2 linked regions of the Oryzias latipes genome follow. The protein of the gene in region 1 purifies or fractionates together with the protein of each later gene. This does not show direct contact. Links are inferred from orthologs where the notes say so. Each region holds a gene or a part of one and is shown in the gene's direction. Other genes may lie near its edges.

Evidence for each region. Proteins that work in one complex are often made in the same cells at the same time.
Region 2: the proteins of chromobox protein homolog 3 (region 1) and pogz purify together in Homo sapiens (affinity purification with mass spectrometry; 7 studies listed by BioGRID and IntAct, with this or other methods). This does not show direct contact. The link is inferred for Oryzias latipes from reciprocal best matches to the Homo sapiens genes CBX3 and POGZ.

Annotation. Positions count from the first base shown.
Region 1 is NC_019869.2:11,213,774-11,221,312, forward strand, and holds chromobox protein homolog 3, read left to right. Parts: upstream 1-2,905; 5' UTR 2,906-3,037; intron 3,038-3,709; 5' UTR 3,710-3,717; coding exon 3,718-3,863; intron 3,864-4,527; coding exon 4,528-4,684; intron 4,685-4,783; coding exon 4,784-4,878; intron 4,879-5,536; coding exon 5,537-5,663; 3' UTR 5,664-6,056; downstream 6,057-7,539. Other genes in the region: nuclear factor erythroid 2-related factor 1-like, read left to right, coding at 1-399.
Region 2 is NC_019869.2:4,535,207-4,541,204, forward strand, and holds the start of pogz (pogo transposable element with ZNF domain), read left to right. Parts: upstream 1-1,466; 5' UTR 1,467-1,641; intron 1,642-4,282; 5' UTR 4,283-4,288; coding exon 4,289-4,376; intron 4,377-4,758; coding exon 4,759-4,886; intron 4,887-5,001; coding exon 5,002-5,062; intron 5,063-5,423; coding exon 5,424-5,645; intron 5,646-5,742; coding exon 5,743-5,946; intron 5,947-5,998. UniProt on the Homo sapiens protein: Plays a role in mitotic cell cycle progression and is involved in kinetochore assembly and mitotic sister chromatid cohesion.

The DNA of each region.
Region 1 (7,539 bases):
AGCTACGGTTTCTCATCGGAGCAGGTAACTCTTCTGAGGGACATCCGCAGACGTGGGAAGAACAAACTAGCAGCTCAAAATTGCCGCAAACGCAAACTAGACGCCATCACAGGGCTCCAGGAGGAGGTGGAGATGTTGCAAGCTCAGCGGGACAGGCTCCTGAGAGATAAACAGCTTACAGCCAAGACGATGGGTGCCGTGGGGCATCAGATAAGGCAGCTGACCAGAGATGTGTTGGCGCGGCTGAGGGATCGTTCAGGACAGCCCTTGAACCCAGAGAGATACACTCTGCAGTGTGGCGCTAATGGGAGGGTTGTAGTCCAGCACATCAGACAACCTGCTGTCTCCACATCTGCCAGCAACAAGACAGACAAGAGGAAAAAAGACAAAAAGCAGTGATGATCGTTTACACACCGAAACTTAGGATTTACCTTTTCTGGGCATATTACTATGCTGAATGGCTTGACTCTGGTTTTGGGATGCCTTCTTTTTTGTTAGTGTATATGGATCCAAAAGCTGCAAAAATAGACATTCATAAAGATAAAATCCTAAAAAGAATATCTGTAAATATTGAGAAAGTTGTAGCTTTCACACTGGACTTTGGCAAAACAAATGGTGCACTTATGGGAACAGCTTAGTGTGTGGCAACTGTACCGGTCTCTTTGTCCCTGCTAAGTTCTAAGACTTTGTGATGGTTACTGCTTAGAGATCACACAAGTGTTGATTCTGTTAGTTTCTATTTACGTTTTGCCTTTTTTTTTTAACCATATCGAAGAAGAGGAAGAAGTAAAAGATTGTATTTATTAAAGTTTTGTCAAAGAGCTCAAAGTGAATATATACACGATGAGACTGTCCAGGACGGTGTCTTTTTATTATAACTTAATCTAAGTGAGCAGACAATTGAAATTTCAACAATCGGATATTGGAGAACACTTTATATTAGATTGATAATTACTATTTAACGATTGGCATTTGACAAAACAAGCGTTTGAGTTTTTGCCTCACTTGTCTTTATGACAGACAGAAAAAAACTGGTAAGATTGACCAAATCATAAAATTGATTTACTTTTGTAAGATAATGAGCATTGTTAGAGGTTACAATAACAAATCTTTTTTAGGTTTTTCCTATTTTCTTGCTAAATAAGTTGTTTGTGGGTATGCAAAAGTGTGCCTTTGATCTAATGACTTTTTTTTTTTTTTTTTAAGTTTGCTGAAGTTGACATTTTCGTGAAAAAATTACAATCACAAACTCTCGGTTTAAATGTTGTTGATTTGGTTTCATGTGCTTTCTGTGACATTTCTATCTGTTTCTGCCATTTCCTGTGTGAGCACATTGCTACATATCTGTTTACTTCAGGATAAAAAAAATACTCCCAAGTTTTCCACTTGATTTATTTAAACTTACATTTCAAAAACCTTTTCCATTTTTTTAAATGAAATTCTACCTCAGGTTTATTTTTTTTTCCTAATCCCTTTTTGACTAATTTGAAAGGTTTGGTGAACTTAAGTGTACTTGTATAATAAAATATTCATTATTACTGTGACCCCAAACAGATAAGCTGTCCAGTTACTTAAAAAATCTATCAGCAAGGCAAGATGTAACCCTTTAAATATTTGTCATTATGCAAAGGGATTGCTATGAAAACTATGGGTTCACAGCTTTACAAAGTCAGCCAAGTGTGTGAAATAATTGTGGAGTGCATGAAGTGACATTTTTCTTTTCCTGGTTTAGCTTAAAGTTTACTTTTCTGTCTCTAAGTTTCGCAAATGTGTGTCTTTCTTGTTTTTTGATTGTTTGCTTGTTGATTGCTGATAGTATGGTTTTTCTTGAAGAATTTAGGCGCTTTTGGGGGATTTGTTTACTCTGAATAAAAAAAGAAAGTGGCATTCTTGTTGTTTTTTCTGATAAATATAAGATTATTGTTCACATTTTATGTGTACCTTTAAGTCTAAGCATTTTTTAAAGTGGGGTGAATGTCTTTCTCCTAACTTAAGTACTTTGCTAGTGCTTTAAGTTTTTATTATTATTATTAATCCAAGTACAACTCAAATCACACCATTTGGCCAGTGCTGTAGTTATTTGGTATTGTCAAAAATGGTAAAGAAGACATTTTGACAAAATTACAATTTTTCTAGCAGAGAATTTTTTACTAACTCGGTTCACTTGGTGTAGAAGATATTGTTCACTATTGCAAATAAAAATAAAAAAATAGAAACATTTGGATTGCAAAAGTGTAGACTGAAGCACAGATCATTTTATTTCGCCTTCACACTTATAGCAAAGGTATTGCTTTAGTGTAACTAAATTTAACAGACAACCTTATATTTATCAAGTAAAGATTACTGAAAATGAATCACTTTACATTTGATAATCACATTGAGACAGTAAATAATTTTCACAGCTTTAAACACTGATACTTAATTTTTTTCACACTCAATCAATACAACTGCACTGACACAATATTGTTTTGTGTATTTGTTATTTTATTTAGGGCTTTATTATTAGGATTCTATGCACCCAAATTCTGTAGATCATTCTATAGCAGGTAAGTTGGTTTGCATAAAATAAACATTTTTTGTAGTATTCTTTAGTAACACGAGTTTATTTTAGCTCAGAAGTCATTTGTAAGCGTCAATATCAAAAAAACTCAAGACATACAGAATATTTAAAACACAAAAACAACTATAAGCTGTTCCTTTATTAGTGAAAACGATAGAAATGTGTCAATGTTTTAAACATGCTGCAAAGCTTTACTCGTGTATTCTCATTTTTCATTTAAAATGAAAAAACATATTTTAAAGATTGTGAGATAAACCGTTATATAAACTGAGAAAAAATAAATGACGTAAAAATAAACTAACAGGACACCGTAGAGTCACAAGTGCTCTAAAGCAAATTGTTTCCTTACGGGCTTCCGTAGCCTACTCGCCTTTTGCGTTTGGCGCGCACCCTCCTTTCTTCATCTGTACATAAAGACAGGCAGTGACCGCGTGGTTGAATAAGTCGTCACCGAGGTCATTTTCTAGGCTTTACAAGGTATGTAAGCTACGTTTACCGGTATTAAATGCTGCATCTCATCTCTTTGTTTTTGAACTTTTTTTCTTAAATAACTAAGACGTAAGGAGTAATTTAAGCTAACTTCTTCATCATAGAAATGAATGCAATGAACCGAACAGAATTTGTATTTGACTCTTCACAGCTCAAGCTTTTTAAGTTTATCAAGCCCGAGTGTTGTATGAATAGTATACTTTTAGTTTTAGACTGTTGATTGTCTCGTTTTGCTATTGCTATTAACTTAACACTAGCACGAACAATCTTTCGTTTTTTTGTTGGGTGTCGATATTGCTGTATTGTTGTAATTATTTGAGGCGTTAAGGTAAGATCTAAAGAAAACACGTTTTTGTAGCATGTTGATGTTCCTTTTTAGTAAAAAGATATAAACAATGGTACCATGGCCTCAAACTGTTTTGGCTACGTTAGCATGTTGGCTAACCCAAAGGACGCTAGTACCATTTACGGAAAACTTGCGGAGTGAACGTGGCCGAGTCGCGTCCGTCGTAAAAAGTTGGAAAAACTAAACACACACATGCTGTACACCTTTATATTTACGGTACAAGCCTTTCTGCTAAATGTGGGTCCTACAGGTGAAGTGGAAAAGGGCAGTTGCGTGATACATCGGCAATTGACTCTCCTTCCTCTTGGTTTTAGAGGCCAGAATGGGCAAGAAGCAGAATACAAAGAGTAAGAAGGACTCACAGGACACGCAGGAAGAGCCAGAAGAATTTGTTGTGGAAAAAGTACTCGACCAGCGTCTCGTCAATGGGAAAGTAGAGTTCTACTTGAAGTGGAAAGGATTTACAGAGTGAGTTAACTGGAGCCTCTCCAGCTAGTTCTTTAGAATGGGGAAGGGGGGTTGGCCTGTTTACTCTGTTACCACATTTTTATGTGGTTAAGGAATCAGACATTTACAATAGATTAGCATGAGCCTTAGATCCAATTTTAAAGTTTTTGTACATTTATACTATGATTCTTAATTTGACCCCTCCCCCTCCTTTAACTTGAGCTTTCATTTAGCTAAAATTAGCCAAATTTTTGGCCTCGATTTTCCTTCTGGCTTATGGGTATACAAAATGGGCTGAATACTTCAGGAAAAGAACAAGACAATTGGCTCGAATGTGGCAAGCATCTGCCCTTTTTCTTTGTTTTCCACTCACGCTGTAACTACCCATATAACGTAAACCAAAATTACAAATAGTTCATTTACATGCAAGAAGACACCAGATTATATGCTTTAGACAATTTTCTCATAACTTGACCAGTCTTGTTATTTTTTAAAGAACACCAGATTGCCCTGATCACTTGATAACCCAGATCATTTGGATCTGATTGGTTTCAGATTGTTCTGAACATGTAGTAAAGTCATTTTTGCATGAAGCTGCTAGTGTTCTCCGCATCCTGTTAGCTTTACATTTTTTTTAAAAGTCATGATTTATATGCAATTGATCACAGCCCTCTTAACTATTTAGTGCTGACAACACCTGGGAGCCGGAGGAGAACCTGGACTGTCCTGAGCTGATTTCTGCATTTTTGGAATCACAAAAGAATATTAAGGAGAAGCCTGCTGCTGTTAAAAGGAAAGCCTCCACAGATGAGCCAGAGACAGAGCCCAAGAAGAAAGACATGGTATGTCACAATGTCATTGCAGTACTTTGAGCTCAGTTCTAATTAGTCATTCTTCCATTTTAAAACTGTTTTCTGAATGTTCATGTGCTTCCACTTTAGGCTGAGAAACCACGTGGCTTTGCCAGAAACCTGGAGCCAGAGCGAATTATTGGAGCAACTGACAGTAGCGGGGAGTTAATGTTTCTGATGAAATGGTACATTTTTATAGAATGTCTCTGACTGTCTACTAGACAGAACCTTTAAAAGATGTTTATGAAATGAAAAAAATTATAAGATAAACATCCCACTTTAAAATCTGGTTCATAGGATTATCATTGTAAAACTCCTCACTACACACTTTATACACTTTTCTCAGACAAACAAACATTTTCACACTTTTCTCTCTTGTTTAAACTCTCAAATAAGACAATAAGTCCAATATTTTAGAAAGCAGACAAAAATCTGGTCACAATGGAAGATGTTTGTAATGGGCAAGCTAAACGCATTTGTACAGGAGACATGGGAGGGAGGAGATGGATGACATGGTCATCAACCAATCAGGATCCAGAGGGCAATCAAAATAAACATGCAAAGATATTTATAAAAATTTGAAGCAGCGATAGATAAACCACAGCATAGGGAGGGGTTAATGTAAAACTTGTTTTAGGTGAGCAGTACAATTTGGCCCAGAATGAAAACTTCTAGTTTGAACGTTGTTCACATTTTCTCTTAACTTCATTGGTTGGTTCACAAAAGAAACATTGTGGAAAGATGTTATTTATTGTGGAATATCATATGACTAATTTTTTTAAAGTAGTTTTATGTTGAATGTTTTTTTTTTCCATTTGTGTAACGCTGTTTAATTTTTTACAGGAAAGACTCCGACGAAGCGGATTTGGTCCCGGCCCGTGAAGCCAACACTCGCTGCCCTCAGGTAGTCATATCCTTCTATGAGGAGCGACTGACGTGGCATTCCTGTCCAGAAGATGAAGCTCAGTAACTGTTGTAGTTTGTGCTGTTCTTTGCATTACCTCTGCTCCTTTCTCAGGACGTTCTGTGCTCCTGTTTCCTGCCTTATCCTTCTAGTTACATGAATTACATAGATTTTTTTTTTTTTTACGCTTGTGTGGTTTTCAATGAGCTTTAAGGTTGTATATACTGGTTCAAAGCTTTTTGAGCTGTCAAAGGTTTTGCAATGTATGATCATTGAAGTCTTCCAAAGTATCTCATATTAAGGACCACTAAGTGTCATACATGTCATAACAACTCTAATTGTTAACAGTTTTAGTGCCTGCACTCATTCTTCCTGTTTGCCTGCTTTTTTCCCCAAAAACATTTTGTCAACAGTCTGTAAATGTTGTTTCAATTTGTAATAAAAGTTTTATGCAGCCAACTTCTTCTTTTTATCCTTTAACCATTGTTTTTTTTTTTGTTCAATTTCTTGTATTGTGGCATTTCTGCTAAGGTTGTCTTCCCCGTAACTAACAGGTAGTTTTAATAAGTGAAGATGCTCATAAAAGCTCTGGATGCAGTGATCACTCTATAGTGATTAGTGTGTCGAGCATGAGACATGAACTTTGGATATTCCTTTCTTTTTCTGTCAAAACATTTGAGCAAACCATATATAAGCACTAAGCAGTGTTGGTGACCCTTTATTTGTAATGAGTGAATTAACGAAATCCTGGAAAATCCTATGCTTTCGCCCTTACATTTTCAGATTTGATTTGTTTGGAAAAGGGAATTGATAGAAATCTCTTTTACTCTTTAGTTCAATAAATGTTTTTCTATTTCAAAATCTCACCAATGACCCTTTGGTGTATGAAACAAAGTTTATTACATGTGTAGTCTAACTTTTTATTTAAATTCTTCAGCTATCTTACTGTAAAAGGTGACCGTCAACCAAGAAGCTCATCCAGGAGAACACGTAAATGGAAACATTCTTGGTAAATTTAGCATATTAAGGTTTTTTTTATAAAGCCCTGGACATATTTGAAAAAAAATTGTTCTTTCACATTCATAATTTGTGTCCACATTTTAGTATTTTTTGTGCACAAATTAGTAGTTGGAATTAACAATGCTAAATTTGTGACCACAAGTGAGTAATTTAAGGGAACAATTAGTTTTTTACATCATGTTCAGTGCTATGTATCCTTTAACAAAAAGCAATAAACAAAACATGTAGTGGTCCAGATTGTTAATAGGTTAACAAATTATTTTTCTCGTGAAGTTGCATCTTTGTGTTCCAAAGCTTCCTTTTATCTATGGAAAACCTTTTTATTATTTAAAATAATGTGATGTTTTTTGTCATTTGTTGTGAAACACTGAGGTCTAATACCCTTAGGATCCGTTTTAATTTGGACTTTTAATCGAACCACTAAGAAACAGGTTCGCAATGACGCAACGCTTAAGCGCCCGGATTTTGCGCACACCTGGGTCGGATGAGCAATCAAGAAAAAGTCTTTTTTGTTTGTTTTTAATCTAGCGCATGGCGTGTGGGTTTGTTTTAATGTTATATCCATATGTCTACTTGCATTGGCCTCCCCCAAAGCACGGAAGGGTCCCACTGAGCAGCTTACTTACATAACTTCTGTGCACACGAGCTAAACTCTGAACTACAGCCCTGAGCCGGACCAGTTGGTTTAAAGAACAGATTTGTTTTCCACACGCAGCCCTCAGAGAAGAACGGTAAGCGCAAATGACAAAACATCAATTTAAGTGTTTAAAATGTCCTTCAGAAATACAAATTTTTCTTAAAGAGTGCTATTCAATTGTTCAATAAAAAGTTAATATTGTAAGCATAGAGGCAAACATCTCTTTGGCTTTTGTTTTTCCTTAAGTTTAAGTCTTATTGATTGTAAATCCAAATTAACCTCAGT
Region 2 (5,998 bases), about 6.7 Mb from region 1:
ATGTGCGGGTTTTTTTTTTTACATTAAAACTTGGAATTTTGGCAACATTTAAATCATTTAAAGCTTTAAGGTTTTCAATTAAATAAACATACAATTAAATTTTCTTGTTTTCTTTCAATGGATTGCTGATGTTTTCAGATGTTTTTCACTTACACTAACTGCCTTTATGGTCTTTACTAAGTTACATCCATAAACCTTAGCTTTTCCATAATCCTTTATCCTCCTCTGATCCTGTCTCTCAGCTTCCTTTTGCCAACAAAGTGAGCCTACTTTGTAAATATCTAATTAAAGGCAGGTTTTAAAGCAATAGATGTTATAATATGGACATACATTGGCTTAAATCCTACCAAAAAAATCAATTCATATAGTATCAACTATAAATGAAGGCCAAAAACGTAAATAGCAAATTAAAGTAAAAAGTCATCTGTTGTTTGATCCATAAGTAACACACATTGATTTTTTTCTTTCTAGTAAAAATGACTAAATCTAGCATATATTTTGCCAATAGACATTACCACTGACTAAATATTAGTTGAAAACAAAAGGCTCACAATTGTTAGCATGATGCTAATACTGTCCAGATTCCAAAATAAAGTACAACAAGATAGAAACATGAAATAGATTTCTTCAAAATACTATTTTAAACGTAGCCTAAAAATGTTAACAATGAAATATTAACATTTGCATGTGTTATTAGTTTAATAACTATTATTTTTCCTAAACTGATAGGACTTAAGGTGTGGGTTTCTGCAACAACACGACAAAAACTCTTAATAAGTACACTAAATGTATAATCAAAAAATGTTTTTACTTAAAGCACAAATGTTAAAACCACAACAATGTCACATTCTTGTATTTATGGTTAGTTTGACTGATCACCATTGTCTGCTGAAGAAACCTAAATAAACCTGTATATTTATAGATTTTGCTTGCTAAATAAACATATACGTCTCTCAAATTTAAATACTACTATTTAAAACGGAGGAATAGATATCTATAAATGTCAGTATATTATGATCACATTAGCATCGTGCACAGCCAGGTCCTAGCTAAAAAAAACGACCTGTTTTACGATAAGAACAATTTATGATGTATACCCTTACGACTGTTATGCTAAAAAATTACAAAGTTCTTAGTGTATGCTTTAGAATTAGTTAAGAAAGTAATAGAACAAGCGTATTATTTTGTATTTATGTCAGAGTTCACGGAAGCTAACGATTAGCATGCTAACACCATGCCATTCTGTGGCAACAGAGTGCAATGGACTCCGAGTAGAACTACTTTGACAAAGATAGCCCTCCGCTTATTTTAAGTGGGTTGCGAAGTGATACTTTTCGCACTTTATAACGTTTCGCAAAAAATCTTACACGATGTTTCTACACGAGTAAATATCACTCCGCCTTGCGTGAATGTAGTACCACTAATAGAGACGGCAAGATCCATTGAGAAAGCGGAAGGATACACGGCGGAGTTCTCGCCGCACAACGAAGGCAGAGTCGAGCGTGTTTATGGTTTCAAATGCTATGAGACATGTCCCGGAGACCAACGGGCGCTGCATTTATTATTTTATAAACCGCAAATTTTAAAGTAACAATTTTAACGAAATAGTTATGTATTTGCCATTTGAAAAGTCCATGTGAGGTAAGTGGACACGTTACACTCTTGTTTGGACTGCATTTCTTACAAAGTAAATGCAACCCCACAGTTAGCTTTTCGGCTAATTTAGCATTGTTAGCTAAAGCTGCTGAGTGAGTGGGGGTTTAAGTCTGGTAAAGCTAGTTTCTATTTAGTAAATGACACATTTAACTGTCTGTATGTAAGATTACGAGAAGAAAAAGTTATTAAAAACAATTTCACGTTGAATCACATTCAGTAATTTGGATGAACATAGCTTTGTAATTTCATGAAATCTCTCATCTAAATAGCACATTAGCTTAGCTTGCTTACCAACAGGGCTAATACATTTGAAGTGTACATGATTTATTGTTTTTAGTTATGAGTATTGATATGAATACAACTTAGTATGAAGTTTTAATAGTGTTAATTAGTCTTTGCTACCAAAAAGGGAAAACTTTTAGCTACAACCACGTTAAACAATAAATCGTAGAGAATTCGTAATTGTAAGCTAGCACGACGATAAGGTGTGAAATCTTTGTCAATTATAGTTAACCCCTTTTCTGCTTGCTCAACCAAAACTTAAAGCATATTTTGAACATTTTTTAAGAAAAGATATTGGCCAATTTTAGTATTGTTTTTAAAGCAACTTGTATAACTTTTGTCAACTGGTGTCATTGTCAAATTGTTGTGGCGTAAAGGATAGTCAAATGTAAAATTTCTGTCTTCATTTTGACATTTAAATACATTTTTGAGATCATTTCAGAACATTTAAAAGTCACACTCCAATCATCTTTTGATCTATTGTAAAAGGGTTCCCAGTTTATACGTTTATTTATTGATTATTGGTTTCATCATCATAATGCAGGTTCTAGCCAGAATCGATAAACCTAGATTCTCATTCTCAGAGCGGAAGTTATTCATTAGAAATTTGGCTCTGAGTTTTGGGCGTAGCTCTGGTTAGCAGAGTAAGCCCACCATCGCTTCCCATAATCCACATATTAACGCACTCTCCTGCTATCTTACAGTCCCTTACAACCTCAACATTATCGGAGCTATCCAGCCAATACAGTTTTTCCAGCTTAGACAGGAAAAACCAAGACGTACTTAGATCTCTGTGTCATCAAGCAGACGCTTGTGGATAGCCGATTGTAGCACCTATGTTACCGCTACAAGCTTTATCAAGCAGCATTTTGATGTCTGCTCCGAATTCAACAGTTTGAAAAAAGAAATACTCAGAAATGCCATTTTAACCCTAATTTCTTTGCATATGTACTCCATCATAACAAAAGCCACGAAAACATGATTAAAAAAAAACACAATTTTACAACACTGTAGATCAAAAGGTGAACAGAGTGGGACTTCAAATATATTCTGAGCTTTTAAATGCAGTTATAACTGCGTAGTTCTTCCAGTGTATGGAAAAAGTAGTCAGTAACTGTCAGGGCCATGGTCCTTACTCTCTTAAAGACCTTCTCCAATGAAAATTGTATTTTGGTATGTGTTTCCTGAGTATTTCTTTATTCAAATAATAGTAAATCAGGATCAGACCAAAAAAATGCCATTTCTACCTATAAAGTACAATTGGCAGGCCACCAGCTCCCTGCTCCGCTCTATTCCAATGCATCAACTTGTAGACAAATAGATCCATGAACGTCTTTGTTGTCCTCGTCTGAGCTGGAATCTGAATCTAAACTGTACGGCTGGATAGCTCTGATTTTGCTGTTTTTATGATGGTGATGTAAGGTTGGGCGTGCGAAGGGCTGTGAGCTAGCGGTACAGCTCGTAAACAAAGGCATTGTGGGAAATGAGAACAGGTTTACTTGCGTGCCAACAGTCCTTCTCACCACTCAAAGGCGGATTTTTGTTGAACTCCTGCCGCTCTGCAGAAAAACGATGTCCTAGCAAACAACACAGTTTTTTTGAGTTTGTCTAAAAACAGGATAACCATAATTAAAAGAACACTGGGAATGCTCTGAAAATAGATCAAAAGATGATCGGAGTGGGACTTGAAGAGCTTTCCTCTATATATAACAGAAAAGCAATTAAAAAATCTAAAGTAAAATTGTTTCTGCTGCTACATTTAAACTATAGATAAAAATGGAAATAATTGCTTTTAAAACTAACTAAAAAGCAATTATTTGTAGATTAGTCAATACTTACAACTATTAGTTGCAATCATATGTTTCTAATTAATAAACAAATCAATTAATAAAACATCAAGAGATCATACACATCAGCATTGGACGGTTTCTTTTAAATAGTTTTTTGTGTCTGTTGATGCTGGATGGGTTGATGAGTAGGGGGGGTTCAAACCTCAGACAGTTTTATTGTATATTTTGGGCATGAAATAGCTTAGTCAGCTTGTTAGTTCATTTTAGTATTTTCCTATTGAACTCTTTGTATTCGTGATCCTTTTGAGTTCATGTTTTACTTCGAAGCCCATCGAGACGACTGTTGTTGTGATTTTGGGCTATACAAATAAAATTGAATTGAATTGAAGTTACATGAAAGTAAAGTAACTTTACTGGATTCCCTCCTTGAGTTAATTTTTTTGTAATATTAAAACAGCTTATTTTTAGGTGTTCAATGTTTCTGTTTTTACCAAAATGTTGCAAGTGTGATTTTTTTTTTTTTTTTTTTTTTAACCGAAGGACTTTGTTTTCAGGTAAAGATGATGGACTGTGATGAGCAGAAGTTTGACGCGTTGGATGACACACCAGAGACGGTGGTTGCAAAACAGAAGCCACAACTGCATGAAGGTTGGACTGATTTTTTTAAACATTTTAGCTGAACAAGAAAGGAGATTGTTTTCTAAAAATAAGTTTGCACTAAAAAAAAGCAGTTCTATGCTTGCTTAAAAGTCATGTAAACTCATTTATATTCATTTGTTTTTGCAAAACATCTACATGTTTTCCTGAAGAAAAATGGTATTGCCAGTAAAAAAATTACAAGCAATAACAATATAGAATTTTGTTGTGTTAACTTATCTGTAAAACTGTTGTTCTTTGCAAACAGACTGGTAGATTAACATAGTCTGCCATAAAATCAGCAATAAAAGCTATTTGTTGTGTTCCTTTGTTTGAAGTACTCTAGTTTATTAATTAGGTATTACTGCTCTGTAATTAAATGTGTTTCGTTCAGTGGTGAGAACATTTGTCAATCTGATGGAGATCAAAAAGGAAAGTGACTCTTCACAAGTCGAGATAACTCCAGTTCCAATTCCGCCTCTGTCTAACTGCAAACTCATGAAAGTCAGCAGCACAGAAAAGGTAAATAAATCCTCATTTTGTGACAGTCATTTATGGTATAACCTGTTTGTCTTTTTGTTTTTTAATGATCACCCCACTCATAGTCTCATATTCTTCCTTACATAAATTCCTTTAGCCTGCAGGTTCATCTCTTGGCTTCACTGTCAATGGCAGACCTGTCAACACGCCATCTGGAGGTCAGTCTGTGTTTTTTAAATAAGCAAGTATTTGTTTTTCCAAAATTCAACTGTGAAGCATTGACAACTTGAAGCATTTTTGTAGTGTATATTATCGTGCAAAACTAGTTAGTTTACTTAGTCATTTAGCATCCTTTCCTTTACATTAAGAATGTGTTTACCGAGATACAAGAAAATAATTGTGACCAAAATAATTGGGATTAAACATTTATCCATCAATTACAGTCGTCTCTGTTTGTAAGAATTAAACTTTCAAGCTGTCCTTTATATTAAAAATAACTATTCTAAGTATTATATTTAATATCATGGGGGGGGGGGGGGTGCATGTGTTTAGTCAGTCATGACTTCTTCTGTCTTAAAGGTGCAGAGTTGAGGCTGTGCTCCCATCCTGGAGGATCCACCAGTGGATTCACCTCCATCCAGATTCCAGTCACTCTGACTGTCCACAGTCCTGCAGGGACGCATTTCTTCAACGCCACAGGCTCCTTAAATTCTTCTGTCACCTCCTCGAGGCTTTCACCTCCTCCTTCTCCTGGAGAACATGACCCCTCACCCAAGTCTGACCCTATTCCCATCATCACAGGTACTCAATGCAACCAACAAAACCCTAACGCCTGCTGATCAGTGCCTGTGAAGGTTTGGTGGTTATTGCATCTACGTTAACGCTCATTTTAATCCAGGTGTGGTCTCAGGCGAAGCAGCGCAGAAGGTTCTAAATGACCACAATGTGAACTTCACAAGTGATTCTCCTTCACAATGCGCTCCTTTTCCCTCTGGTGGGACGTCGCCTCCAAAGTCCAGCCTTCCTCAATGCACACCTCCAGCGGTCCCGAAACAAAAAGGCCTCAACAGCAAACCAGCAGCCAACAAACTCCTACGAAAAGGTTTGGTTCTTAACTGGGGGTCTTTTTTCCCCCTTCTTTGCAGTAAAATATA